Oreochromis niloticus: one gene and its partners. The main gene of each other region encodes a partner of the protein of the gene in region 2 in a complex. Links are inferred from orthologs where the notes say so. Each region holds a gene or a part of one and is shown on either strand. Other genes may lie near its edges.

Region 1 (6,864 bases), on a different chromosome or scaffold from region 2:
GAAATGAACTCTGTAAAATCGCCACTAAAATTAGATTTTTAAACCACTATTATGTGTACAGCAAAAATGAGAAAAAAAGGAAAAAAGGGGTGGGGGGTGTTAGCATAGAACAAGTGCAGAGTTGCCCTGGACTGGTCTGTTTAGACTTGACAGATCTGTTTTGACTTGAGCTGTGCCATTTGGCCTTCAAAGATTCCAGACATGTGCCAAACTGCAATGAACTTTGACTCCGATGTCTTGATTTTTTTAGGCTTCCCTGTTCTAAACTGGCCTGTATTGCTGTATGTTATTATCCTGAAAAGTCCCAAACTGAGAAAGCAGGAGACTGGAACTCGGCTCTTTTGATTACATGTTGGGCTCAGGACTGGATTTTTAAAAACTTTTTGTTATCAGACTTAGTTCTTGCTTTTTCTTCATTCTTTTACCTCGTTGCCTTTTCTAGAGCTAAATATACAAAAGTTGTAACGTGACTTTCAAGAACAGAAAAGAACAAAAGTGGTACCTGCCTATCCCTGAAAAGGGGCTCACTAATGACTAGTAAACAATAATGTTGTCCCCTTCTCAGAGAAACTTTGATTGTAGCCATTTTTAAAGCAGGCAGATGGATACTTCCTTTTGCAAATATGTTACAAATGTGTATAAAATGTGTAATGTTGTTAAAGACTTACAAAAGTCACCTATTACTGTGTTGGTTTCTTTGGGGCTATTATGTGTGGACAGGCATGCTCTCATTGTGCTTGCATGGGTTTTCACCTCCTCTTGGATAATTCTTAATCAACCTTAGATGGGAGGCAAATTACATAACACACTTGAGGGCATAAAGTGCATAAAATGAGGTGTTAGATAAATAAAAAAGAGGAATAAAACTTGTAGTGTAAAGTGCATTAAGTTGGTGAAAAGAGTTGAAATCTAAGTCTGTTCTGTTCCATTATTATCCATTATATTTGAGAGTTTTATATTCGAAACTTTAATCATTTGGATCTGGTTTGAGGGGTGTCTCTGCAATGGATTGTAAGATTTTACTATAAGAGTCAAATCATGAATCTGTCATATAATAGTGAGGGCCCAACAATAAAACTAGCTTTGCTTGCTGTAATCATTGTTCTTTTCCAGTTTGTCCCAGAGAAGTCTGTTCCCGAACCACTTTTACTGCAGAGGGACAAAATCCACAGTCCTTACTCTGTAAATTTACATGGTAAAGTTGATCTGAAGCATATATGATGCTTGAGCAGTTTAGCTTTGTCCAATCAAGACGATGTTTCCCTAAATTAAAATCACCTCTTTTATCACTATCACTGCACCACAGCTCATTAAGAAAAGGGGGGAAATTTGCCAATTCTTTAGTTACTTCAAATGTAATTCATCAAGAAATTGCTTTCTTTGGTCTGTTTAAGGAGCAAAACCATTTTCAGCGTCCACTTCAAACTGCCTAAACATAAGAGGTTGAACAAATGAATTAATTCTGTCGTTTAAAGTTTCCATTATCTAGTAACAACGTTTCAGCTAACGAGACAAACCAATCCTTCATATTATCTGCTGACAGTGGCAACGTTTTTTAGAGGTGTAAAATGTGTAATGTTCTCACAATAGGAAGGGCCTTTTAAATTTTATTTATAAAAGTAAACTATTGACTATTACACTTCAGCGATCTTTTACACATGACTGATGATAATAAGTTGATGATGACCCAGAATGAAGCAAAACAGAACAGAAAACAGCTACATGACAGTCAAAATCCCTCCTTATAGGCTACGCCTGCCTGTCTTGGAAAAGTGTGTGTGTGTGTGTGTGTGTGTGTGTGTGTGCGAGTGTGTGTGTGTTCACGCTGTCTGATGCAGGGGAATGGACTTCCTGTTCAGAATGTGTTGTCATGTTGACTAACCAAGGACACCAAGAAAGGGAAACGACCTGGCCTTCAGAATAAAAGCTTGGTATGTGCAGTCTAGTTAACATGATTAAAGGCATTTTAACAATCCCAAAGCTATGGAGGCTAAATAATTTGCTAATAGTCTATAAATAGAGCATTATATTAATAATGTGTTATATAAGGTCACAAACAAACATACAAACAAACATTGGTTTAATACATATACATAGATTAGTGTGTAATAATGATTTCCAAAACAAATGAATATGTTCTCATAAACTTGCCTGAATTAATCCATTAAAATATATAGGACTTGGGCCAGTTTGTGGAAGTCACAGTGTTGCCTCTCCAACTTGAATACAGTGTCCGAGATAGTGAGAGGGACATCCCTTTCCTGCCTAACTGTGTCTTATGTATGTGATTAGAGATTGGCCAAATACATAGTACGCCCAAGGTGGAGGACAAGAGAATTCATGAGCGTTTGTGTGTTGTGGAGGCAAATTTTAATTTGTGTCTGCACCTTCAGATTCAAAATGGGAAGGTGTTTTATCGTCTGATAACAGGTCTCTTTCACCAAAGAACCAAAATGTGAAGAAAAGTGACAGCACGACTGGATTCTGGATAAAATGCTTTCCTTTTCCTCCTCAATTCACCGCTCATCTCCTTCATATCAATGTGCATATCAATTTTTTCAGATTTTGTTGCAGTTACTTATTGCCAGCATGCGACCCTGTGATTAGCTGACAACCAGCTGTACAACAAGAACTGGTTAAAAGTTAGTTTAGGATTGAGTGTCTTAAAAATCTCTCTTTCTGTCTGATGTAAAGATTCTCATATGACTGAGTGAGAGTTTATTTTGTAAGTGTTTGAGTAAAACAGGGTTATATTAACTTCAAGGAAACTTTCACTAGCACAGGCAAACAGAGGCTAACAGTGGCAAACAAGTGTTATTGGCAGAAAACCTTAGGATGTTTGCAACAACTCGCCTCAATATAGGGCTGGTTAATCTGGGATACCAGGCATTTTCCTGGTGGGCCGATAGGCCCAAAAAGTGACTCAAGGGTAAAAACATAAAATACAGCAAAATATTTGACACATAACCTTTTTTTTATTTATTTATTTTTAACTCTTACATCTATTGTTAAGTATATGTATTCCTCAAATATATTAAAATATAATTTTTTATATACAAACAGTAACAGAAAAAAAGTTGGTTATGTGGTACAGTCTAAATTTAATGTTTTGATCTCTTTTGGCTGACTACAACATGTTTGTCCTATAGCAGCCACCAAAGCACTGAGAGGAGTTGACTGCAATTATGCAATCTGCTGCCATCTAGTGGTGAGATTTTACACACTGTAACTCAAAAAAAAAAAAGAAAAGCAAAATATGCTAAACATTTTAATAAAAATTCCTAAGAAAACAGTACTTGATGGACTTTCACTGCTTTTTCAGCAGAGCATCATATATAGTGTTTCTCACAACTGTAATGAATTGTAGTGGCACAAACATTTCTATGACTTTTTTTGTGTGTGTCTCCTGATGGGCTGGATCCAGTTTATTTCTCTTTTATTTATTTGTTCTCTATTAATGGGAGTTTTTATTTGGAAACAGCAGTGCTTAGTGGCCAGCTTATTTTGGGCAGGAAGAGAACCTGAATGTTTATGGACTTGATAGAACGTCTGAGCATTTATGAAGTATCGTCACAACAACAATAACTACCAATGATGCCATTGCGCACTGTGTGTGTAATTTAGCTGAGCAATAGTTGAAAATAATTTAAACTATTTAATATTTATCTATATATCTAGCTAGCTTGAAAGAAACTCAACTGTTCTGAATCCCTTCCTACATTTGAAATTGTAAATTTGATTTAAATTTCCAACTCCCAGCACAGCCGAAAATCATGCTTTTGTTTTGAAGGGTATCAGACGGAAGTTGTTTGCTATGTTTGGACATATAACTTGACTTTAGCTAGTTGGAGCGAGCCTATCCTTGACACACTTACCCACACCATACAACATACACACACACACAGTGTCGCGGCCTCTCCCCGAGCTTGTTCCGAGATTACGCCGCTTTCATCGCTTAGACAAACTAACGAATCGCCGGTGAAAGACTGACTCTGCCCCCGCCCTGCGCTGTGTGTAACGCTGGTTAGCTCCGGTACAAGCTGGGAATGTGTTTTATTTAACAATTACATGACGACTTGTTCTCTGTACGGTTGCGGGGGGGACGCTTGTTAGCAGGGCTGAGATTTTAGGCATTTTAAAGTTACACCGTGGGTGCATACAGGCCACAACACCTCTAAGCTAACTGATTAACTTGATAAGGGACAGACAACATCTTCGGCGTCTGTGTTTGTGTCGGTGAAGCCGCGGAGATCTCCAGCAGCAGCCATGGCAGGGACACGGACAGCTGCTGTGCTGGTCCTGGTGTGTTTACACTTCCATCGCTCCGGCTCTTTCAACCTGGATGTGAATAATTCCATCGTATACTCCGGACCTGAGGGGAGCTACTTCGGCTTTTCGGTGGACTTCTTTAAGGCTTTAAACAACCTAAAGTAAGATTTGTAGCAGAGTAGATGGTTATGGTGATGATGGTGATGGAGAAGCGCCTGTTCAATGTAACCTTTGGTTTACCTTACTTTACATTATATATGCTTCTGTTGAAGTACTTTACTTAAGTTTTACACTTTGGCCATTTTGTTATTTAGTGACAAGTTCTCAGCTAGTGATATGTTTTTAAGATTTAACATGACAGTCCATTAACAGCAGTCCATTAACTTTTAACTTTTACTTCAGTACTTTATTAACCAAATTGTAAGGGCTGAATTTTACAGGCAATTTGAATTTATTGCCCATTATTATAACCATATATTTTAAGAAAAATCCATAAGTCAGAGATTCTCCCTTCAAAGCTGCACCAGCTGTGACTTTATTTAAAATGAACACAGACAAACAGGAACAGTGCCCAGAGGCCATGTAGGCTTGGTGCTGTCTAAACTCTCGTCCATGGATATCCATGATTATCCAGTTTTACTGAAGTGAAAGTAGTTCTCTCAAAAGAACACTACTGATCTAGTTGTTTTCAGACTGCATTTGTTTTGTTAATTTACATCATTAACAGACCAAATGCAGTCCCAAAACAGTGCCAACGCCCTCGGTCATAGAGGAGGTTTAACCTGAGGTGCTTTTAAATTGTGTTTCCCATATTGTCAAGTGTCATAAAGGTTCCTGAAAAACGTTTTTAAAAAATATTCCCTGGAGTGTGTGAGACATCCTAATAACAGTCTTATCATCGCCTTTATGCTTCCTGGTCTTGTTTCTTGCTGTATTTTTAGAGTGTCTGCATGAAAAGATAGCAAAAAGCTGCCTGTCATCCTCTCTCCCTGCACAGAGTTTCTGCAGCAGTTTTGTAGATGCACATTAACAAACTTGCACCGTGCTACTTTTTATGTATAATAAGAAAACAGGTGGTTTTTTCCCAGACCTCTTTAAAGCATCATCCCATAACGCATAGCCCAGTTGTTCATTTTTTGTGTTAAATAAATTCTTGTGGATTTCATCCCTTGTTCAACTAAACATCAGTAGGTACCCAGGAAAATGTCAGTTTATTGCAGATGACTCCCTCAGTGCAGCAGAGCCCTGTTGACCTTGGTAAGGGAACATATTCAGTAACTTTGTGTTGTAACATCTAAAACCTCTATGCTGTGCAGATAAATATCGATTGCCTGCCATTTCTCCATATTTCAAGGTTCAAGGTTCTTTATTTGAGAAAATATCAGAGAAATGTTGCAGTCTCATGTGACAATAGACTGACAGAGCGGACAGAAAGTTAGAGACTTTCATCTGCAGTAGCCTGAAAAACATTGAATCCTTTTAGTAACACTAATTAGATCAGCACTGAAATTCACTGCCCATGTTACAGTTATTGCCATGGTCAGAGTGGATTTGTATAATATGATATCAGGACCGAAGTTGGCTGAACATGGCTTAATAATGTAAATATGTCCTCATACAGAACACGGTCGCTGTGGAGACTCGTTTGGTTCTAGTTATTAAAAAAGAACTATAGATTTTCCTCACAGGGCCTAATGCATGTCAAGCATAAGCTGTATAAAGCATGGTCGTAGCTACTGTGACGCCACCCATCACCCATTAGTGTTTGACTGCTGCCATTTTGGTTTGCTGAACCCAGAAGTGACTGTGGTTAGATGAGAGGGTGGAATGATACGTTGTCGCTAGGAAACATCATCTATAAACCATATGGGTTGAATGCACAGTTACAGATGCCTACTAAATAGTGCTAAATAACAGACAGACACTACAATTTCACTCACCAAAACTGAATCACAAACTTCTTAGATGCTCCGCACCACACCCATGTCAGTTGTTTAAACATGGTGACTCCAGTTAGTGAAGCTGAAACCCAGCGGGTACCAATCAGCTACAGCTAAACATGTTGTCAGCATCTAGATGGATGAGTTATAAAAATAAATACAAATCCCCTCATACTAGAGTTGTTATGAAGCTGGAAACTCTCCACGGAGGCCAAAAACAGTTTTTACACCAGGCTGTAAACAGGCCTTTTAATGCATCTATGGGCACTGCCTCACTATGTTTTTCTGATGCCAAGCTCAGAGCCACTAGAAGAACCGTTCATTTGTGGTACTTTGTGTTGGCTTCATTTAGAGCTATGTATTCTGTTAAATAAAAAAGGTCAAAAGTTTTGATTCATTTTATAAATCTCACAAAGCTATATCAGCCAAATGTTACTAACAATAAGCTACGCTAAGTTCAGCCTGTCCTTCGGTTTTTATTAGCTAGTTTGAGGCAGCAGTAGTGGCTGGAAGCTAAAAACCCCCCAGTGTAACAATGTGTGGCCTGCAGTAATTACACGTATTGAGAGATCACTTGATTTGTAGCTGTTTTCCTGTTGTTGTTTTAATTTTATTCTACTGAGTGTGGTTCCTGTCAGCTTTTAAAACAACCACA
Region 2 (7,820 bases):
CTCTTCCTATTGCTTTTCTACTTTTCATCCTGTTCTTTGGTTGTTATCTAAGCAGAACAAAATTGTGCTCTTCATTTTGAAGGTTGCTTTGTTCTCTCTTTGGTCTACACACTCCTGAGCGTGGTCCATCCACTAAAGTGTGCCGTTTGAAGTGGCGGATAAAAGGGGGATAGTGTGGATGGCTGCCTGATAGGGTGAGGAGTATAGACATGCAGAGAACAATGGTGCATAGAAACAAAACTAGAAAATATGTTTATCGTAATAGTTTGGGAATCATTAGGCAATTACAGCCAGAAACCATTTGGCTGAACAAACATCATATGTAGCCTTGCCAGACAAAGAGCAGTAATAAAGCAGTAAAAATGCCATGGATATCATGTAAGCAACACACAGCATCAGACCAGATGCTGCACACAGTTCTGCTAACTTGTAATGCCTGTGATCTCTGAACCCCTGAAACTGCCTCAGGATCTTTGGTGGAGATCATAAGGGTTACACGTGTTGAGGGAGTTTATGGACAAGATTGGAAGTGACACCAGCCATAAGGCATACAGTGAATACTTGGGAGTACAGCTTGAAACTTCTGGACAGCACTGTGAGCACTATATTTAATATTAGTGTTGATCAACAAAATTCTGAACAAAAGTCTGATTCAAAGGGGGACTGTAAGCGATGCTATTGTTATGTTTCTGCTAGTAATAATAACATTATTACAGCAGTATTGCTGTAGTGGAGGGATTAACAGCATCACTTCATGTGACATCTGGACAATAACTATTTTTTCAGAGTGGAAAGTGTCAGTGCAATGCTAGTGTTCACCTTGAATTATGTGTCTCAGCTTGTAATAGCATAAATAACAGTCATTACTTGACATTCAACTATAGTTAAGCCATCAGGAATTGCCCCCTTTCTTAATATTCAATCAGGATTCACAGATTCAAGATTTATATATTGCTGCTAAGGGTAATTTTATACTCACTGGTCATGTTGAACCTGTTAAGCACCTTGGCAAAGTATTCCTCCTCCTCTTGTTCTCTGGGGATGATTTTCTGCTCCTCATCCTGCTTCTCCAGCAGAATCTCACTGGTGCTGTTGTAGAGTGATAGCAAGTTGGCAGGGATCTCTTCCTTCTCCCCAGCCTCATCTGGCGCTTTTTGCAAACGCAGTTTGGTGAGGATCTGGCTCCTAATGGCCTCAATGCGTTTTTTCTTCACCATCTCCAAGTCCACAGTGTTACATGTAGACAGATTATGTACACTGCCCACCATGTACACGACCATCAATATCAAGAACCACAATTTCATGTTGACAACCTGTCTGTTCAGTCACTTGTGTTCTTTGGTTCTTAATAAAAGCTCCTCCGACTTCCCTTTCAATGCCTTCCTCCAACCGGGGATCCTTTGGGAACAGTGAATCACTCAGTGGAGAGGTGTCACTGACGCAAAGTGTTTACACACGACAAAACAATTACAGCAGTGTGGAGAGTCCTGAAAATTCACCACCACGGCTGTCACTGCTGCTGTAAAAAGTACCTAACACATCTGTCTTATTTGCATTGAAACAGATGGAAAGAATCCCAGTGAGCAGACAGACATCCAGTGATGACCCAGCCTCTGACTCAGCCAAACAGGTAACCCAGTGACGTCCCACAGGATGAAGCAAGTCCAGAACAGAGCTGTCAAATGCTAAAAGAGCCCATGCACACAGTCAGTGCCCTTTTGTAAGTCTCCACAACACCTCTAGGTCCAAAACAAACTACTACCCATCAAGGATTCAGCAGATTTGTTTCTGTGCTCACAGACCAATTTTTGATTGTATGTTTTCAAACCTCCAAATGCAAAATTATATTATATTATTATATAAACTGAATCCTGTCTATTTTAGAGCTAGCATATCATCCTCCACATGTCACCACAGTCTTCCATTACAGAGGCAACCTAAGTGAATGTGAAAAGAGTAGTGTGGTACTCAGCAAAATGAAGACAGGTGTTTACAGAGCCTGAGTTACTTGTTATCTAAGACTAAGACGGTTAAATTGGCACAATTTCTTATTAGTGCTAATGACAAATATTTCCCCAGTAATGTTCTGTAATAAAGAGAAAATACTAATAATAGTCTCAGGTTAAAAAGTTTGAAAATTATCTTCCTATTTTTTTTAGGTTTGGTCAGATGACCTCAGCTTTTCCAGTCCAGATAAAACTCTCAGGCGCTTTTAGTCAGTCCGGAGCTAATCAAATATCAATGGTTAAAAGAAAGAAATTGTTCTCAAAGAAGTTACTTTCACCAACTTATTCAATACCAGTCACAAACCTACGCATGCCCCTATAGAAAAACATTTCACAAACATGTACTGCTCTTGGCTCTAACTACCTCTTTTTACTAGTAACAACATGTGATCTGTGTACAGCTGCACTACACCAGAAATTGCTTTCAACGCCTCTGTCTCATGCCTACTTCACCGACAGAGCAGCTGTCTCTCTATCCCTCTCTTCTCTCTCAAACATGATAATATGATAGTGTATGCTCTCTGGGTTCCACTTGTGAGATTAAATGTCTCTAGCGCGTTTGCTGTCAGAAGATTAAAATGTCTGTCTCAATGAAACAGTGTCCTCCGGTAACAGATTTTAAGTTTGACACACCTTCTTTAAATGGTGATGTACCATCCAGACACAGCGGCAGTAACAACAGCAGTAGCCGTCCCCCTTAACTTATGCTGTTTTGGGAACTGGATTTCAGTCTCGTCTCTCTTCTATCTTCCCTCTGTCCATCCAGCAGTATCACCTCGTTATTTCCCTCTACAGTTTCTTCACACCTTCTTCCTTCGAGGCTCCACCGACAACACTCCCTATTCGCACCTCTGTTTTACTCGAGTCTCTGCTCGTACTCTTTCTCTCTCCTCCTGCTTGTCAGAGCTTGCTGGTGACAAAGTGATTTGTGGGAGCTCTGAGCTTAGATAACTTCTTTTGCCTTGCTCTGCCTCTTTCTCTCCCCCCTCTAGCTCTTCTCTTTCTCTTGTTCCTGTTACTCTATTAGAGCGAGCAGCTCTCCGCCCAGGAAATGAGGGTAACGGCCGCAGTGTAAAACATCTGCTGTTTAACAGAGCTGACTTCTGTCCACATCAGGAAGCCAGGAACTGAACATGCTTAATACTGACTTTAGAAGCATTAACTCTGTCACATTGCGATGTTGGCAACTGAGGCAGCGATGATATGTCAATAAAGTCTTATACAAATTTTTCACCGAACGCCCACCACATTTACCTGGTGGATAAAAAGGTGTAAGCCAAACCATGTCAAAGAACTGAGATACTTGAGACAAGCTGGTTTAAAAATAGTCAAGTGAATTTCAAAGCATTGGGAGTCAACAGGGCAGGGCTGTGTGGTGCACTGTCCTGCGTCTGGGTGCTTTTTAGAGGTTAGATTGTATATTTTCAAAAGAAGGGCTAGACTAAAACAAACTGTTGATTATTTCAATCTTTTTGTCTCGTTCTGATGGATGATTCAACAGAGAAGTAAAGATAACAAACTATCATTGCACAGTGGAGACTCTTGGAATTTTTTAAGGTTTGCCCAAATGTGCTGATGAATAAGCTGTTCATTACAAACTGATAATAAATAGTGACATTCAGCATTAGGGAAAGTCAGGGCAAAAATCCCCTTGTATTTCAGCAGTAATACAACAACAGTTGTCAGTCAAACAAGGAACCTAAAGGCTGTTTAAGTGTCAGCTTTTCCATGTCTCTGATTACTCTTAATGATAAGATAGTGAGAAAAAAACAAAAAAGGGTGATCAAATGTCAGCAGCCATTACTGTAAACCAGTCAGCCACAACATCAATAGCATCTTATTTAGTGTTGTTAAATCCTCCATACACTGTCTGGGCATGGAGACAGGACCTCTGGGGCTGTCCGCCGATGCCTGGCACAAGTAGAGTCTTTGGGTCCATTGGGCCTTCATGGACTGGGCTTGTTCTGTGGAATCCTGCGGTTGCTCAGTCTGACTGGGAGTATGGAAAACAAAGCCAAAGCCTGTGGATCTTGGCTGTGTTGTTGATCCATTTCTGAGCAGGTTTCTGCAGTGTGGCAGTGTGTTGTCCTGCTGGGGGAGGCCCCTGCCATCATGGAGTCCCTTTGACATTGGGGGATCTACATTTGAATTTAGGTAGGTGGTATATGTCAAAGTAAAAGTCACATGAATCCTAGGTCCCGCGGTTTCCCAGCACTGTAAACAGATTATGCTTTTACTGTTACCTGTGTGTGTGTTTTTAATGTTGTTGCTGATCTTTGTCTTTGTGTTGTGACGCCTAAACCAGTTGGCATGCACTGCCACCTGGTGGGCAAATATGGTGTAACGGTTATAGAAGTGACTTTCTTGTCGATAATAAGTTTGGTGGTATGGATATTTGGTAGAATATTTCAAATTATTTCCCCTACAAAAAAATATACATTACAAATGTATAGTGCTGTTTTAACAACAGCATAATAAGATAGACAAGAGTAACGTTTGAAAATTACAAGAGGAAAAAATCTTACACACAGTCTTAAGAAGCAGACTGTTTTTAATGGCTAAAAAAGACCTTTTATGTTGTCATTCTTTTAACTGGACGTGTATTCTGTAATACAATTAAGAGTGTCACAGTGGATAGAGTATTTTAGAAAACCCCTGAACAGAAGTTGTGTGAAAGTTTGCTGTAGCAAGAAATCTCAGTTATATAAGTACTTAAGAAGATGCCATCCATCTCTTACTGACACTGCACAGCCATCCTGTCTGACCAGTCTGCCATGGGGCATTTCATACCTGTCACCACATAGCCCACATGGCAGTACCTCAAGGTGTCTGTGTGTCTCTGAGCACAAGAGTGCAACTTGGACTGCTTTCCCATCATTCACATCGAAGAGCTAAATGATTCTCTGTGTCATTCTGCTAAAGATCCCACACAGCTGTGGTAAACACTGAAGTCTCTGAAAGAAGTGAGGTAAAATATTCACAGTCAACAGAGAGAACAGATAGTATATAAATCATATCACCACATCAGATGTTGTAAGGTCTTACAACAGTCTTTCCAACTGATGACAATATTGAGAACTGGCATGAAGTTTGCTCTGGGATTTGGTTTGGATAACAGCTTTTGCTCTCAAAGCTGAGGTCATTAGTTTTTATGCTGATAGTTTTAAAATTGATCATATTGTCGATGCTGACTGGGTGTTGTTGATTGTGTGATCTAAAGCCTAATTAGAGGAAATTAATTTTAGCTGTCACAAGTCTTGGGGTTATTTTTGTAGACTTTTCTAGCACTGGGTTGGACCTCATTTGCTTCCTGAATTGCCTTAATTCTTTGTTGCACAGATTCAACGAGGTACTGGAAACATTCCTTAAAGGTTTTGGCCCATCTCAGGCCCTCCAAGGTATGGAGGCCTATCTCCCCCCACCACTTCCCCTGTGGCAGATGCCCTCAGACATCGGCGCATTGGTGGTTCTTTGTGTCCGGGGATGGGCGTCCAGGTACACACCGGCTCACTCCTGGTGGCTGCTTGTCGGGGCCTGGAGCCTGGGGCTCGCTCGGGCCACATCGGGGATGGGGTGCCCTCGGCCGCTCGGCCTGGGGCTCGGTCACTCTGGCACAGCTGGCTGCCGGCGGAGCTCACGGGCACGTCACTGCAACCCCCCCTGGCTTCTGCTCCGCGGCTGCTGAGTGACCCCTCATCTGGGGCTCTCCTCAGCTCTTTCTGGGATAGTGGCGCGGCTGCCCCTCTGTTGGTCTTCCTTGGTCTCTTGTGTTCTGGGGGCCTCTGGATGTCTGGAGTCTTGATCTCCTCCATACCTGCTTCATGCCCTGGAGGACGGGGCTGTGGCTCCCCACACCCTCTAGCAGATCATTACATGAAGGAACCTTTTAAATACAAGTGCGCTCATGCTCAGAGGTGTACACACGGGTGATCACACACACAAACTACACCCTCTTTGGCTCCTACCTCAAAGCACACTGTGCGCTGTCGATCTCACGTGTTGCACCATAATGTTTAATATTTAGTATTTACTGTTATATTCCCATAGATCATCGTGATGATGTTGTTTATTATGTTGCTCTTTTTTTTCTGCTTGTTTTCTCTTTTTTCTTTCTCAACAGGTGATCCAGGTGATTGATATATGTATTTTTTGTCTGCTTATTTTGTTGGTTTTTGTTTTTTGCCCTTTATCACCGTTCCTCTTCCCTGCTGTTTTTCTTTCCCTCTTTCTTTCTCCCCTTTCTTTTCCCCAGTCAAGTCTGTCCCATATTTAGCAAGTTAAAATAAAATAAAATAAACAATAATCAAACAGACCATTACGGCAAAGCTGGGATGGTCCATTTGGTAAAGTAAATCCATTGGGCATCTTTCTTTGCCTTTAGACAATAATTCTGATGGCAAAAGAGCCAAACGGGACAGGCAAAAAAAAAGGAAAAAAAAAGAGGTTTTGGCCCATATTGACATGATAGTGTCATGCAGTTGCTGCAGTTTTGTTGGCTGCACATCCATGATGCAAATCTCCTGTTCCATCACATCCCAAACCTGCACTGTTGGATTGGGACGTGGGTATAGATCAGGGGTGGGCAACTCCAGGCCTCGAGGGCCAGTGTCCTGCAGGTTTTAGATGTGTCCTTGATCCAAAACAGCTGATTTAAATGGCTAAATGACCTCCTCAACATGTCTTGAAGTTCTCCAGAGGCCTGGTAATGAACTAATCACTTTATTCAGGTGTGTTGACCCATGGTGAGATCTAAAACCTGCAGGACATCGACCCTCGAGGCCTGGAGTTGCCCACCCCTGGTATAGATGGATGGACATGGTGAAGGTTCTTACTTGAAGCAACAATTGTCAAGTAGGATGTGGTGTTTAAATTATGCTCAATTCTTCTAAGGGGCATAAAGTGTCACAAGAAAATATTCCCACAGACTTTTACATCAGCAGCCTGACCCACTGATACAAGGCAGGATGGAACCATGCTTTCATGTTATATATGCAGAATTCTGACCCTTCCACCTGCATGTTCCAGCAGAAATCAAGACTGGTGAGAACAGGCAATGTTTTTTATAACTTTCCAATTCCAGCAAATTGTACCCTCATTTTCCTGCTCTTAGCCTACAGGACTGGCTCTAAGTGTAGTCTTCTGCAGCCCATCTGCTTCAAGGTTCAAGGGTTCAAGGCATTGTACATTCAGATTTGCTCTTATGCATACCTTGGTTGTGACAAGTGGTTATTTGAGTTACTGTTGCCTTTCCCAGAGAACTGTAGTCTGTTGGATACCTTCTTTTTTTGGACCAGTCTTTGTAAACTCAGGGGATGGCTGTGTAGGAATATCCCAGCAAATTATCACTTTCTGAAATACTCTGATCATGCCATCTGCCACCAACAACCATGCTATGTTTAAAGGCACTTAAATCACATTTCTTCTCTATTCTGATCCTCAATTTGAACTTCAACATATCAGATTTTACTTGATTGTGTCTACATGCCTAAATGCAATGGATTGCTGTTAATCACGTTAAAACTTTAGCAAGCAACTGAACAAGTGTGCCTAATAAAGTGGCCGAGTTATTTTATGTTAAGTTCCTTCTTGTATCTTCAATATAAACCAAAAATGTGCCATATAATACATATTTAAACTACTCATCAACTTTTTGCTACTACCTCAACGTGCTTCTTCTCTTAGGCTAGTGTGACCTGTCTCCATGGTTACAACGAAAGTGTATACGTGCGTGTGTTACGCTGACGGCTTTGTGAATTGATGTTCTGTGTTTGGGCCGTATTTCTGCCTTTTCTGTGCATTTTGCCACAAGTAAGG
Region 3 (6,855 bases), on a different chromosome or scaffold from region 2:
ACTCTTTTGGCTCCTATTAATAGAAGAAAGCCTTCCAAGGAGACAGAGTCTGTTGTGTTTCATGACTTTGTTTAGACTGCATGTAGAGCTTACTTTATTTGACTGGACTTGAGATTATTTATTTTTGTATTTAACAGAATGTTTTCTTTAAACAAATCAAACTTTAGTATGCAAAGTAAATACAAACAGACGCTTTGGTTATTGTTGACAGATGTGTGCAGTTAAAAATACTGTGATTTTCTCTTTTTATTACTCATTAATAATCGATCACTACAATAACCAGCAGCTTCAGCCCTGACATCATACACTAGACGTCGTCCTCAGCCAGACTGAAGCTTTCACTCAGAAACACAGCAGCCTCTCCGTCAGTGATCGAGGGTTATTCATTAACACATTGTTGCCAACGGCTGCTCGTGTGGCTACGACCACTCAAATTAGTTGTGGTTCTTTAAGCAAGGACAACGGGTGTCTGGGGTCACCCACATGCCTGGCATTCCTCCACTGCTAGTCCTGACGGTGGGAGAACGCGGTGCCCAGAAAAACCTCCACAACAATAACATGTTGTATAAACACCCAACAGTGAAGCATGAGCAACACAACCATTCGCAAAAAACAGCAACTGACCGTCTGTGTCGATTTTTACTGTTTCTAACAAAAACATCTGTTCAACCCTCCATCAAAGAGGAAGCAGAGCTGCCACTGGTGGAACAAAATCCCATGACCACTGGGTCACTAACAAACAGCCCGTCCTGGCTGTTATTGAAGGATTCATCAAACAGCATTATGGGAAAAGGCTCTCCTCTCATTCAGCTTAATGTTTGTTGCTGTGTTTGTTCAAAGTTAGCTTCCTACCACTCTGCCCAGTGTAACCATCTGACAGTGTGGCCACTGCTTTAAGGAAAAACACTTTTCAATAATTACTTGAACATCACCCACCCTCGTCTACTCCACTGAGCGTGGAGGACATGTGACACATTAGCTTCAGCTGGCAGTGCTCACAACAATTCTTTGACGCCTCTTGTCATATCTGGTTTTGCATGTTTTGCTACGATTTTCTGCCAAACTCAAGCCTTCAAACATGGTGGTTCACAGAGATCGTGTCACTATAGTGGTGTGCATGTGGTACACAGACTGTCACAGTAACATGCCTCACTCTCCAAACCAGGTATGTGCCCACTGTCCACTCTTCTAGCAACACTTTAACATTAGGAAACAAAAAAAACAGCTCTTGAATGACACTGCTTCGTGTATCATTTCCAGCTCATCTGCTGCATTTAAACATTTGCAAACATGTATATACTTTGAATTCTGCATGTAGTAGTGTGTACGTGGAATACTCTGTAGGTGATCGGTTTCTACATCTTAAAATATTTCACGATTTTCATTTCTTACTGTGCTAAAAATGGAGGAGGAAGATGGGAGGGAAGAAGGTTTTTCTGAGTGACAGAACATCACCTCCAGCCCGTTAGGGGGGAGGATGATGAGTGCTAGTGACACCATCCAATTTAGCTTGCTGCCTGTGCTCAGCTGTGTGCGGATGCTGCTGAAGCAGGAGTGGGAGCTGCATGGGTGTGGTGCTGAACAGCAACGTGGCACAGAGGTGGCAGTGAAGATGCTCTCATGCAGTCTAAACTGTAGCACACAGCCACTCGTGGTCCAATTAAAATCAGACTTGTTGTTAATGTGAGGATAACAAACGAAAGAAGGACTGGTGTTGCTCCGAACATGGACCATGACAAGCCTCCTGCTGAACAAAGAGCAGAAGTGCCTCCCCTTTGTTTGTATCCCTGAGCCAACATATCAGTGTAACATCCAGCCTGCAACTGAAGCAGCAGCAGAGTATATGAGGACCCCACGGGGGGGCTTTAATGACCTCTTTGTATATGCCAGCTGAAATCACGCTTCCCCACTCATCACCAGCCTCTCTGTATACACAAAGGAATGTCACACAATGAAGCGCAAAAAATAAAAATGCAGGTGAAGGCTGCTTGTACCTTTAAGAAAAGCCTTCACCTGTAACAGTCAGCGCTGGTTTTAGCGACCACGATGTTTTTTTAATGAAAAACTAATAAAAATCGGGGCTCAACACTCGCGAGCGCGAGCAGCAGTGCACGCGCCTGCCCTCGTCACTAATCGTGCTGGCTACTTCAAAGCTGCGTTTCCTTAAACACTTCTACTGTAGCCAACTACGCTGCTGCAAACATGCAGTGAAACGATGCAGCTCTGGCATTTACGCAGCAGCGACTTCAGCATTTATTTAAATGAATTTCTTCTTCAAAGTTACAGCAGCGCTCAACTAATGTCTGACAGAAGCTAACAGGCTAGCGTCTGCTCGTCAGGCAGAAAACTACTGAAGTCAACCAGCAAGTTACTCTTTAAGCATTTATTAACGTAGAATAACGGAATTATTTATCAGACTGAGATCAAAGGTTATTAATGCTCCTCAAGATGAGTCCTGACCAGAACACTAACAACGCGTTTGAGATAAGAAATGGTAAATACAGATATTTACATAAATCCCAGCAGGAAAAATGTTTGTTCCCAATTTCAATTAATGTTTGACAAAAAGCAAACATCCATCCGTGATGCGGCCAACTTTCTCTCAGCCACACTCGGACTGTTCCTTCAGACGGTCCGGTGCTGGTCCAAAGCAGGATCGGAACGGGTGACCAAAAACGAGCTTAGCACGCCGAACCGTCTCAGCGCCGTGTGACTTGTTGCTGCCTTTGTCCTTTTCCCCCAGACTATAAACATTCATCAGGCAGACAGCAGCAGACTGGCCGCAGACCCTACGCCATTTTAGTTAGACACAACCCGCTTCTTGGGGGTTCTTGAACAAAGAGCACTTCTAAGGGAAGCGAGTCGAACCAAGAGTGCAAGTTTCGACAAATACACGAGAACACCAACAAACGCACATCTACTGTGTTCATTTCAGGCCACTTACCATTATTTTCTTGTATCCTTGTCCCAAAAAGAAGGACGACCACAAAAAGCCGTACTGCACCCATCGTGGCTGTGAACCAGACTGCCACTCGACTGCTAACTTCTCCCTGCGCAGAAGAAGACGGCCGCTGATAGGCTGACGGAGCAACGAGCCCGCCTGGCCAGGACCTGCTCAGGAGCAGAGCGAGCTGATTGGCCAAGGAACGTGCGACACCCCGCCCACTAGAGCAACTGTAACGCGCCTGTAAACAAACCGTGTTCACTGCATTAACAAAGAATGTTATAATTTAGTTACATTCATATTACTTCAGTACTACACCGTGTTCGTATATTTCTAATAGAAACCAAACTATTCTTAGAGAATAGAATAATAAGTCTTACACAGGGGATATGTGATATATGATATATGCCCTATGATATATGCCCTAACTATATGCTTTAGCAAAAAAGAAAGTTTGAAGCCAAATCTTAAAAGTAGAGATAGTGTCTGTCTCCTGAATCCAAGCTGGAAGCTGGTTCCACAGAGTAAATACTCTGTAAGTCCGTAGTCTCTCTCTTTCAAACCCTTCTGCAAACTCAGGTTCTGGTCTGACATACATTTCTGTTTTCTATAAATAGTGAGTTATGTTTGCATCACACATCAAATATTTGTATGTCCTGTATCCCTTTGTGCTTCTTCTGTTATGAAGATAGGGAAGGCTTTTTTGCATTTTAAGGTTTGTAAATGCTTTGAACTCTCAGTTGGTTCACTCACTTCATAAAAATACTTAATTAACAACTAGTAAATACCTGAATTAGCCATGAATTACAAAATGAAATAACACCTATAAACCCTCATTTCATAATCTGTGTATGTATAAATGTGCATCTAAATATGCTGTTAATCATTTGCTTGGACTTTCTAAATGGCTTTAACAGCTCCTAAATAACTTGTTTGTAGTTACCAGAATGAGCAATAAGAACACGGTAAAGTAAAACTATGTCCAGGCTACAAACAGCTGCTGATAACAGAGCAATGAAGACAGCATACATAATAAAGCTGAGTGCTGGCCCCAGCAACGCAGCCATAGCTTCAACAGCTGCAGTCAAAATTGCAGCTTAATGCTTATCAAAGGTTATAGTTTCCTGGGTAAAGTTTATTATTATTATTAGTAGTAGTAGTAGTATAAAAACAGCAGACACAATTAATTTTAAAAAATTTAATCGGAATTTCAAAACACATCCAACCTACAGTATCTGCAAAATATGTAGAAAATTTGATTACATACAAAACATCTAGTATGACAGCAAAGAGAAACTGGTCAGCTTCACAGAGTTGAGAGTGTTTTTTCTTTGATTGGTGCTTACATCTGGAGAAGCAGACAGGAAATGCCATTATGGACTTCAAAATGTGACATTATTGACAAACAGTTTTATGTCAGAAAAGATGGCATTTGTTGCTATTCCATCAATTTTGTAAAAAAAAAAAAATTGTTTTTTACTATTAAAATCAAATATGGCAAAACTTAAAAAACAAATCAAAGAAAACTGAAGTAAATGATAAACGGACTGCTACTGGTACACAGTGTTGGTCAAGTTACTTGAAAATAGTAATAAGTTACTAATTGTTCATTACTTCTCCAAGAAAGTAATCCTGTTACTTTACTGATTACTTATTTTCAAAAAGTAATTAGTTACTTTATTACTTGAACATGATACACAACCTGAATATGTAATAAAGCAATAGACCTTTCAGCACAATTCTATTTTTTCTGCATAATAAATCATATAAAACGTAATCAAATGAAAAAGTCTCTTTTTAAAACTTTTTGATGCATTTTAATCTTTTGACTTCATGCACGTTGTATCAAACAAAAATTTAATTATATGCAACAGTCTTTGACTTAAAGAAATTTGTTTAACATTTAAACTTATTGTCTGCATGTTCCAGCATATGAAATAAAATAATGTTTTGTGTTTACACTCACTCTTTCAAATAGATGCAAGTAAAACACAGCAAAGAATAAATAAAATCAAAGATTCAGCAGCTTTGAGTCCTGTCGCTCTTAAATCTATTGTCACCTGTTTAGCAGGAGTGGGGTGGGTGGAGGTTTGCCCACAGCAGTCATGTCAGTGGGAGGATCCGGGGGTTTCTCTGTGAATGTCACATTCCCGTGGCAGCGTGCTCAGTGCTCACTCAGATTTGAAGTTTAATTTTTCGCTGTAAAAAGAAGTTTGCTTCCCACGCAGAGTGCACAGCGGACGGTAATGTTTTGGTCACTTTTTACGGACTAAAACTTAAAGTAATGCGAGTAATTCCACGCTTTAAACGCTGCATGGTCGTACTCTCTCCATCACTCCATTGTTGATCTGCACACATCTGTTGCTGCCACAGGCGCTGCACGTTTGTATGTCATTGTCATGAAACACTTTCAGTTTAGTAACGCAGTAACACAGCGTGCGTACAGGAATGTAACTGTAAGACTGAACTGTAATGACTGTAACTGTAACTGAACAGAACTGTAATGTAATTACTTTTTTGCAACAGTAACCCCTTACATTACTTGGAAAAAGTAATTGGATTACGGTAACGCGTTACTGCCCATCTCTGCTGGTACAGCTAGGTCCATAAACTTTTGGACAATGACAAACAATTTTTTGAAAGGTTTTTAAATCATACATCTACATAACAACTGTGATGGTCTGACATTCAAGTGGTGATTCAATCCAGACTTCGAGCGTCAATTCAAGGATTTTAACTATAAAGGACAATGTAATGTGTAGGAATTACAATCCATAAACTGTGGTCGTGGTACTTTAGCATCGAGCTAGTGCTACTGAACAGGACAGAGCATAAAGGAAGTAACGTTTTTATAAGTGGCAGGTCCTTTCAAATTCAATGTTTCTATAAATTCAACAAACAGAAAACACATTGCTGCACAGCGTGTTGCTAGCTAAAGCTACAGCTGTGGTGATTTCCAGGGAAAGAAAAGAGTGTGAGATAACTTCACTCAGCGATGGAGAAAGATATCAGAAAGACAGGACAGGAGGGGAAGAAGAGCAGTTATATTTGTATAGATTTATATTAACGATTACTGTGATGTACGTAGGACAGCATGGTGGTGTTAGCACTGTCACCTCTGTATGGAGGTTGCATGTTGTCCCTGTGTTTGCCTGGGTTATGTCCACGTACTCCCGCTTCCAAAGACACGCAGTTAGTGGGGTTAAGTGGGGATTCTAAACTGCCCACAGGTTTGAATGTGTGTGTGAATAGTTGTTCGTTTCTCTGTGTTAGCCATGCGACAGACTGGCGACCTGTCCGGGGTCTACCCTGTCTATCACCCTATTGTGTCTGAGACAGGCTCCTGCCCATTTTCTTGCTGAAGCATCCACCCTCATTTTGTCTGTATCCTCTTAGTAGATGGCAAGACATTTTTATCAAGAATGTCTTGGTACATTTTTCTATTTATCATTCCTTTAGTTATATAAAGTGTGCCAGGGCGCATGCTGAAAAACAGCCCCACACCATGATGTCGTTGGTGCGGTGTTTTGGGGTGATATGCAGTGCCTTTTGAACGTTGTGTGTACTATGGCATCAACTTTGGTCTGATCTGATCAGACCATACTCTCCCTGTCTGGAGCTCTCCACACGTGCTCCTTAGCTTAACTTTTTTGATCATTCTTTTTAGTCCTCTATTTGAAAACTTAAGGGAAGCACCTCATCATGGGCGGTTTATGGTGAAATGATGTACCATGGCCCAAGAGTGACTGCAAAGTGCCATGCCACACTTGTTTGTAATGAGCTTGTAGGTGCTCAGATGAGAATGAAGACACACTTTGACAAAACATCTGTTGCACTTGTAACCCTTCTTACAGTTTATTAATAAGAATAACTAAACTGTCACTAGGCCAATATCAGAGAATCTGGGATCG
Region 4 (8,009 bases), on a different chromosome or scaffold from region 2:
TATTTTACTCAAATTGTTGCAAGCTAAGCTCAGGGCGGTTAGTGAAGGGTAACGGAGAAGAGAGGCGTTCTGTAGTGTTTCAAAGAGGTTGTAGTTGAGCTGAAGCTCTTCGATGTTTTCTGGAAGTCCTTCGGGCACAGATGTGAGCTGACCATTATTGCAGCAAGCCGTTTGTTGTATCTGCAGAGGAGGTAAAAAAGCACATGCTTTAACACTTGCATACTGGTTGTGTTTTGGCTTTTTAAAATTCTGGCAGAAACTGCATTTCTTTCTTGCACAGCAGATAAATTTTAAGATCGTCATGAATAATATCCATGTGCACTTAAAATATCTTATTGTGGGAAGATTTCCCTCTTAAATTACTTCTCGTGTGGTTATTTGTAAACTATGCTAGCATGCTAAACTAAGATAATGAGCATTGCCTGCAGTACATTAGCGTCTTACTGTTAGTGCAACCATTTTAGTCTTCCTGTGTTTCGGGATTTAACTGAAAGTACTGTTACCCACTGTACTGGCTCACAGAAAAACATGGTGGGCTGTAGTTTCTTAGTCTAGTAGGTCATACCACAGCTTACCAAAACTTTATTATTTCCTTGACAGATCACTTTTCCATTAGCATTCTGAGTCACTGGACCACTCTAAAAATACTTTCTGGCGAGATGCATTTTTTTTTTAAAAACGCTCCAAATTGAAGTTTTCAGTTTAAATAACTAATCATTTTTTCCCCTCTCGGAGTTTTATTGGTTTTATTGCTTTAGATGTTTCATTTCTAGAATGATTCATATTTATATTTATTTATATGACTGATAAACACTCAACAAGAGAGATTTCATTTCTTTCTCAGAATTGACATCCGCTTCCAAAACCCTGCATCAGATATTAATATTCACAAATTTAGACTTTTTTGTGGCCTATTGGAACGTCATTAAATAATTAATACAGTGTAGGAATGTGCCAATGGATTTAATCTGAATGGATTTTGATCTAACTAAAGGTATAAACCACATATACAGCGTGCTTTTAGAAGGTGGATCCTATTAGGGACTGGATCTTTGTTAATAATACAGAACTTTCCATATTTCAATATCATTACTTGATGCTTTTTTCCAAACAAATTTCATGTTTACACATTTATGTTTCAGTGCCTTAGGAATAACTTTTTTTATTAGAAATTTTACCTTTGAAGTTGTCTTACCAAAGTCACTTTTTAGTTTTAACTAAGCCAAACATGAAATCGTTTGGCCTTTTCCATGTGATATATTGTAAAATTTCCCCGATATTCCTAAAACATGCTACAACCAATTTTCATTGTGCTCGGGAAAAGCTAAAGGAACGAAGAGCGTCTTACCAACTGACATCGATGGTGCTGCGGATGACTCGAGACTGGCGTCAGCGTTCTCCACATGTGCAACAAGCAGAGAAGGATGGGTGTGAGCCTGTGGACTGGCATTTTCTCATCCTTACTGTTGAGAACACAGAAGAAGAAGAAATGCGTGAGCGTGTTTGTGTCACATACTTTTAGATTTTTTCCCCTTTGCTGAAGTGAGCAGGAGCTGGTTGTTCAATATAGGCCTGACAGTGGGCTTATTCTTCTGTTTTAAACCATAGTTATTACTATTTGTATATAGTGAAAAACCTTGTATGAAAAAATTGTGTAATTATAAACTTTGTCTTAAAATGTATATGTGTCTGAAAAGGAAATTCTATCCTAGCAATGGACGAAAGCAGCTTGCTATTAAAATGCTGAAGCAGCCAGAAGGTCAGAGAGTGGACAGGCAGTTTAAAAATTCAACTTTTATAGCCGAGGTTCATTTTCACAATTATTTGAAAAGCTTTGATAGTGTAAAAGTCTACAAGACTATATTTAAGTGTCTCAGGTGAGAGTGGAGCTCATCACTTTTTTCAATCTGCTCATATCTAAATGAAAATTGTTGTAAATAGTAAGTACAGTTGATAAAACTCTAAAATGTGAAGGTGTAATATAATCTTTACACCGTTTATGCCAACGTCATGTACTCGGTTTCATTTTTATTATATGTGAATAACTCTGATTTTCAATCTTTGACTTACGGCCTGTCTCGGGATGTCGGAAATGATGGCATATTTTATCCTGAAAACATCTGCTGTACGTTTTGCAAAAATTTCCCAGATTTCAAATCAGACCACTGTGTGACTCACTGTATGTGGAGGCCGTGCGTTCCTTTTTGGCTTGCATGTATTGTTGGCTTATCCATTATAACGCATGCATGGTTTCTAAAGAACACGAAGGTTTTCTTGAACATTTTTTTATGTTTCTTCATTTGTCTAACCGATTTATTACCATTTTTATTTTGCATCTGCGTAGCTCACATTGAGTAACTGTGCCACCGCTTTCAATATAATTTCTAAACTATGTTCCTGGAGAGAAGTTAACCTCATGGAAGAACATATATTTGCAGAATCTTCCTTTCTCTATCTGATGCAGCCTATTTCTTTTATTAATAAGACCGTGCACTGTGTTAAAAAGACACGCACACTTACTTTGCGTTTGCATTTATGCGCACTATATGTTTACATTCATCAGGCAACATCTAAATGACTCAAACATGGTCTGAAAACTGTTATGCTGCGCTCACATTCGTTTGTCAAAGCGGTGCGCGGGTGTATGCATACATAACACTCAGAAAATAGAGCGTATTCAGAAACAGATGATCGTTAAAGTATCTTGCTTGAATGCACCGACTGCAAAATGGGCTTAAATTAGGAATTCCTCATTTAGGCGATGCGCTTTGCTTCACGCAGGAGAACACCGTGCAGTACAGAGTTCATTTACTTACACTGGTGGTTAGGTGTGGATTTGCCAAGCCACTGACGGTTGCTCCCCTGACCATATCGCTGGTTGATTCGCTGTTGCAGAGCGCGTTCACATGTGTGTCAAGTTCAGCTGCTCTCCTCTGCACTGACTGAAGCACAGATGCCCCTTCTTTACTATTCACGGAAGTAGGCAGGCAACGGAAACCGAGTCACATGGACAAGCTGCAATCAGGCAGGTTCTCAAGCTCGGGGCCACAGGAAGGCGAGTGCAGGCTCAACAGCTCTTAACCACCACTGCGCAAGTGTTTTCTTTCTCTTCTTTTTTTTTTTCCTTTTCTCCTTCACAGCTTCACAGCAGAATAGCGTTATTATTCAGACAACTGATACTGGTAGCACAACTGCTACCACAAAAACCCAATGAGAACACACCCTTCACACCCTCTGCTCGTTCTGATCAGCCAAGCTACTCAAGAGGAAACCACTCAACGCACACACCCTTCCTGCCTTATTTTCGGCCTGTCACTGCAACAGACAAAACACACACACACACATATATATATGTATATATAAATATATGTATATATATCTACACACACACATAAACTGACTTTTAGCACTCTTTATAAAAACATACCTTCGAGGGTTATAGGGATTCTGAGTCAGATAAGGCACAAGGGCTCAGAGCATAACTGCAGAAACTAAGCAATGTACTCTGTTTGGCTTTACTGATTTTATTTTCATTCTCCAGCTAATAAATGTACTAAAGTCACTTTCAACATTTGTGAAACTCCAGCTGTTAGCTTGTATCTTATTTGTAATGAAGAGTTGGTGCAAGAATGGGGAATTAGGAATCAGGAAGTGATGGTGCCTTCTGTGGAGAGTTGATTGGTCAGGCATTCCTTCCTGTTTTCACACAGGACGTCTCACTTCTGACTCTGTTGCAAGGTTGGGTGGCAACAAGATTTTCTGATCCATATGAGTATGTGTGGGTGCTGACTTTGTTGTTTGTTTGACACTCGTAAAATCAAATAAGGTGGCTGCTTATGAACTACAAGAAGCCCCCACAGGGCACCTTTAAACGTTACATGTGATGCATAAAGAAATAGATTTAAGACTTGTTGTTCTTACTACAGAAATGCCTCTGCAGTTGAGATGAAATCTATTATACATTCACTGGCCATTTCATTAGGTACGGCTTGCTAGTGCTGCGTTGTCGCCTTCAGTGCAGCGTTAATTCTTCATGGCGCAGATTAATTATGGAGCTGGAGACAATCCCTTGAGGTTTTAGTCATGAGAGCATCACACTGTTGCTGCAGGTTTGCTGTCTGCACATCCATGATGTGAATCTGCTGTTCCACCACATCCCAAAGGTGCTTGGTTGAACTGAGATCTGGTGACTGTGGAGGTCATTTGAGTACACTGTACTCACTGTTGTGTTCAAGAAAGCAGTTTGAGATGATTTGAGCTTTGTGACGTGGTCACAGAGGTATGGACATGGTCAGCAGCAATATTCAAAAAGGCTGTGACAGTTAAACCATGCTCAACTGACAGAAAGGGGCCCAAAGTTGTCTGATTTTGGGGAACCCGTGTGAATTGTAGCCTCAATTTTCTGTTCTTAGCTGAGAGGAGTGACACCCAATGTGATCTTCTGCTGCTGTAACCCATCTGCTTCAAGGTTAAAGGTGCTGTGGATTCAGAGATGCTCTTCTGCATACCTTGGTTGTAACAACTGGTTGTCGCCTTCCTATCAGCTTGAAGCAGTGTGGCCATTCTCCTCTGACCTCCAATATCAAGAAGGCATTTTCAGTCCGAGAACTGCTGCTCACTGATTATTGTCTCTTTTTCATCTCTGCAAACTCTATAAACCCTAGAGATTGTTGTGTGGGAAAATCCCAGTTGATAATCAGCCACCACCAACCATACCTGCTTCAAAGTCACTAAAACAACCTTTGTTCTCCATGGCGATGCTCGGTCTGAACTTCGGCGGCTCGTCTTGACCGTGTCCGGATACCTGCGTGCACCGAGTTGCTGCTGCAATTGACTAATAAGATATTTGCATCGATGGGCAACTGCACAGGTGTATCTAATGAAATGGCGTGTGTGTGCACCTGTTAGTGTTCCACCAGCGATGTGACCTACAGTGGCTTTAGGTGCAGCTTTACATGTGGCCTTGCTCATGTTCAGTTGTAGCAGCGTGCAGTGTGAGGCAGTGTGTGTCAGCTAAGCGCACTGGGTGAGAGCAGCTCCTGCACTACACTTGCTCAGTGTTGTGAACACGTGCAGTGCAGTGTGTGACTACATAGCACTATTTTTTTTTTTTGTCTGTTTCAGCAGCTGAAGCCATTTTAAGACATGGCACACTACTGACATTTGCATTCTATTTTTGAGAGCTGCGAAAGGGTTCTAGCGGTGGTGTAAAAAGTCCCACGAGTGTGTGTGTGTGTGTGTGTGTGTGTGTGTGAGGGGTGGGGGTGGAGGGGGATGTGGGTAGTTGCTATTTGACGAAACAAAAGGGATGGAGACTTAAATGTAAACACTAGAACACTTTCTTAGTGTCTTAAATTTAACGGTTTCTTTTCTTTCTTTGCTTAATTTCTTTAGATATTAAAAACAGCTTCTATAAATATTCACAAAATTCCTGTCTTCCTGTTAACGCCTTCAGAGCATACGGAGCATACATCAGCACACCTCAGTCGTCTGTTTAAGGCTGTAGGTTGTGAGAACAGATACAAGCAGCAACAACAGTTGACGTTACACTAATGTGGGAAACCTCTATCCTCTCGAGAGCCTTTGCTGCATATCATCAGGCTTTCTCTGTGGTGGGAAGATATTTGCATTGCATGCACAAAACCGTCACTGCCCTCTTGTGGAAACTTCTCGAGGATCAGCGGCATTTTCGTGGGCCCTTAAATCTCGGCTCTGTCGAAGTCTCCCGCCAGTCAAACATTGCATCAGAGGGATTTAGAAAACCTTTGAGAAGGTGTAGATGTTCCTCATATTGCTAAGTTATACCTGTAAATGCAACTTTCCTTAAACCAAGGGAAACATAGATTTATATCAAAGTGAGGCACTGGCATCCACCAGGATTTTATTTCTATTATTGAACTGATTTTAAAGGGAACTTTTTCATTCTCACAAAATCGTTACCACTTTAATTTAGTTCAAAAGTCCAGCTTTTATTTTTACATTTAAGTTAATTCAAATGTTTATGTTTTTTCACATCTAGTTTGAGTTTCTAGTTTAGTTTTAGTTAACTATGATAACCTTGGCTGTTATGTTTTGGAGATGTTTGACAAATGGAAAGGCTTGCAGTGCAGTACAGATGCTCCTATAAGTCTATGCATTAATTTTAGTGACTGAAATTCCAGTATTTCATTATTATGTTAATGGTTGTACAGTCAACAGGCAGCAACTAAATAAAGCTTCAAAAATTAATTTAAAATAAATTATATATAGTCTCCATCCTTTTTCAGATTCCATATTAGATTGATATGTGTGGACAAAACCAGTTAAGCAGTTATACAGCAGGTTTGATGGTGAACGGGAGGATAGCAGCCCTGGATACAGACAGTGAGACGGGCAAAGTAAAAGTATCAAGGATGGAGAAAGTGACTTTGATAGACAGTCCGGCAAACAGACATTCAAGGACAGAACAGAAAGCGGGGAGTATTAGCAGGTACTCTAACAGGCAAGCTGTAAACAGGAGCCACAAATTGGCAGACGCGAAGCAGCCAATCTCTTTGCCTTGGCATTACATAGACAGTCAATCATTCAATGAATTCTCTCCTTCACTGCTGAGATGCTGTCCAGCACTGAGACGCTTTTTCCCTGAGTCACGCTGAGCTGATTTTAGTGCATTGCAAAACAATTTCTGTTGGCACTTTTTGAGATGTAAAATGTATCTTTTATTGCAGAGTTGCCTTTAAATAAATACTGATAGAGAGCAGGAAGACAGAACTCGACATCGCAGTCATGTCAGTTATGTTAGCGATGTGAAGACACCATTTCACACCTCTACATTTACAAAAGAAAGCAAAAGTCAAGCTTGAAATGTTTCATTTTGGATGAAACTCTCAGAGGAGGTCAGCTGAGGTTATGAGCAGTGCATTGTGGTCTTTAAAGATATATCCCAACTTTCACTTGGATATGTTGCTGTTTGTCTGAGGCCTTTTGCTCTGTTGAGATGTGCATGTTGTTCACTCACTAGCTAGACAGACAAGACCAAAGTGGTGCCTCAAAGTAAATCAGCATGTTTAAGACATTACTCACACACTGAAATGCCATCAACTCCCAGCTTTATGTATGTTGCTGAATGGAAAGCTTGTTTTGGTGTACTGCCACTCTTTTGCTCCCCTCTTCTTTACAGCGTTGCTTCAGTTCATTGAGGCTTTTTGGCCATTTGTTTATGCACACTTCTCTTGAGATCCTACCACAGCATTTCAATCAAGTTGAGGTCTGGACTTTTTATTCTTTTGCTGCCATTCTGGTGTAGATTTGCTGCTGTGCTTCAAGACATTGTGTTTTTATCTCATCTTGTTTCATAATTGACTCTAGAACTGTTTGACATTTTGAGGTGTTCATGGTTGACACAATGACAGCAAAGTGCTCAGGTCCTGTGGGTGCAAAATAAACCCAAATCTTCACCCCTCCACCGCCGTGCTTGACAGTTGGTGTGAGGTGTTTGTGCTGATATGCTGCATTTGGTTTTCTCCAAATGTGCTGCTGTGCATTAGAGGCAAACCATCTCCACTTTGGTCTTCTCTGTCCAAAGGACACTGTTCCACGGGTCTTGTGGTTTGTTCAGATGCAACGTTGGAAGCCATGCTGCTATGTTCTTTTCAGAGAAGAGGATATTTCCTGGCAACCCTTCCAAAAAGCATGTTCAGTCTTTTTCTAATTGTACTGTCATGAACTTTAACAGTTAACATGCGAGCTGAGTCCTGTACAGTCTGAGATGTAGCTCTTATGTTTTTTTGCAATTTCACTGAGCATTGCACGGTCTGCTCTTTAGGTGAACTGGCTGACAGGTCAACTCCTGGGAAGATTGTGTTAACACACCTAAATAGTCCAGACATGCAAACCACTAAAACTTCTGCTTTTATAGAGCTGCTCACACGTACTGATCACTGATGATCAGCTAAAAGAGTGCATTTGGTTAGCATCACCTGGCTAATACTTACCTCCCTGATTCCTGTAGAAGCAGTTAGGATAGTCTT

Evidence for each region.
Region 1: the proteins of tgfb1a (region 2) and itgav are in contact, whole or in part, in a crystal structure (PDB 5FFO), measured with the Homo sapiens proteins. The link is inferred for Oreochromis niloticus from reciprocal best matches to the Homo sapiens genes TGFB1 and ITGAV. Residues at the interface, in NP_000651.3 of Homo sapiens: Gly242, Arg243, Arg244, Gly245; in NP_002201.2 of Homo sapiens: Asp178, Asp180, Phe207, Tyr208, Gln210, Ala245, Asp248.
Region 3: the proteins of tgfb1a (region 2) and tgfbr1b are in contact, whole or in part, in a crystal structure (PDB 3KFD), measured with the Homo sapiens proteins. The link is inferred for Oreochromis niloticus from reciprocal best matches to the Homo sapiens genes TGFB1 and TGFBR1. Residues at the interface, in NP_000651.3 of Homo sapiens: Ala279, Leu280, Asp281, Asn283, Tyr284, Tyr328, Ile329, Trp330, Gln335, Lys338; in NP_004603.1 of Homo sapiens: His39, Leu40, Thr42, Lys43, Phe55, Asn68, Met70, Ile78, Phe84, Val85.
Region 4: the proteins of tgfb1a (region 2) and nrros are in contact, whole or in part, in a cryo-EM structure (PDB 7Y1R), measured with the Homo sapiens proteins. The link is inferred for Oreochromis niloticus from reciprocal best matches to the Homo sapiens genes TGFB1 and NRROS. Residues at the interface, in NP_000651.3 of Homo sapiens: Leu30, Ser31, Thr32, Cys33, Thr35; in NP_940967.1 of Homo sapiens: Phe194, Glu195, Ile196, Glu197, Gly198, Gly199, Phe201, Leu210, Leu212, Pro218, Cys219, Ile220, Val221, Asp222, Phe223, Gly224, Leu225.

The regions. Positions count from the first base shown.
Region 1 is NC_031987.2:29,168,861-29,175,724, reverse strand, and holds the start of itgav (integrin alpha-V), read left to right. Parts: upstream 1-3,845; 5' UTR 3,846-4,266; coding exon 4,267-4,430; intron 4,431-6,864.
Region 2 is NC_031979.2:33,775,522-33,783,341, reverse strand, and holds the start of tgfb1a (transforming growth factor, beta 1a), read right to left. Parts: upstream 3,009-7,820; 5' UTR 2,640-3,008; intron 1,686-2,639; 5' UTR 1,305-1,685; coding exon 980-1,304; intron 1-979. UniProt on the Homo sapiens protein: Transforming growth factor beta-1 proprotein: Precursor of the Latency-associated peptide (LAP) and Transforming growth factor beta-1 (TGF-beta-1) chains, which constitute the regulatory and active subunit of TGF-beta-1, respectively.
Region 3 is NC_031974.2:34,528,130-34,534,984, reverse strand, and holds the start of tgfbr1b (transforming growth factor, beta receptor 1 b precursor), read right to left. Parts: upstream 3,009-6,855; coding exon 2,945-3,008; intron 1-2,944. UniProt on the Homo sapiens protein: Transmembrane serine/threonine kinase forming with the TGF-beta type II serine/threonine kinase receptor, TGFBR2, the non-promiscuous receptor for the TGF-beta cytokines TGFB1, TGFB2 and TGFB3.
Region 4 is NC_031974.2:26,327,384-26,335,392, forward strand, and holds the start of nrros (transforming growth factor beta activator LRRC33), read right to left. Parts: upstream 3,024-8,009; 5' UTR 2,817-3,023; intron 1,464-2,816; 5' UTR 1,451-1,463; coding exon 1,349-1,450; intron 181-1,348; coding exon 1-180. UniProt on the Homo sapiens protein: Key regulator of transforming growth factor beta-1 (TGFB1) specifically required for microglia function in the nervous system.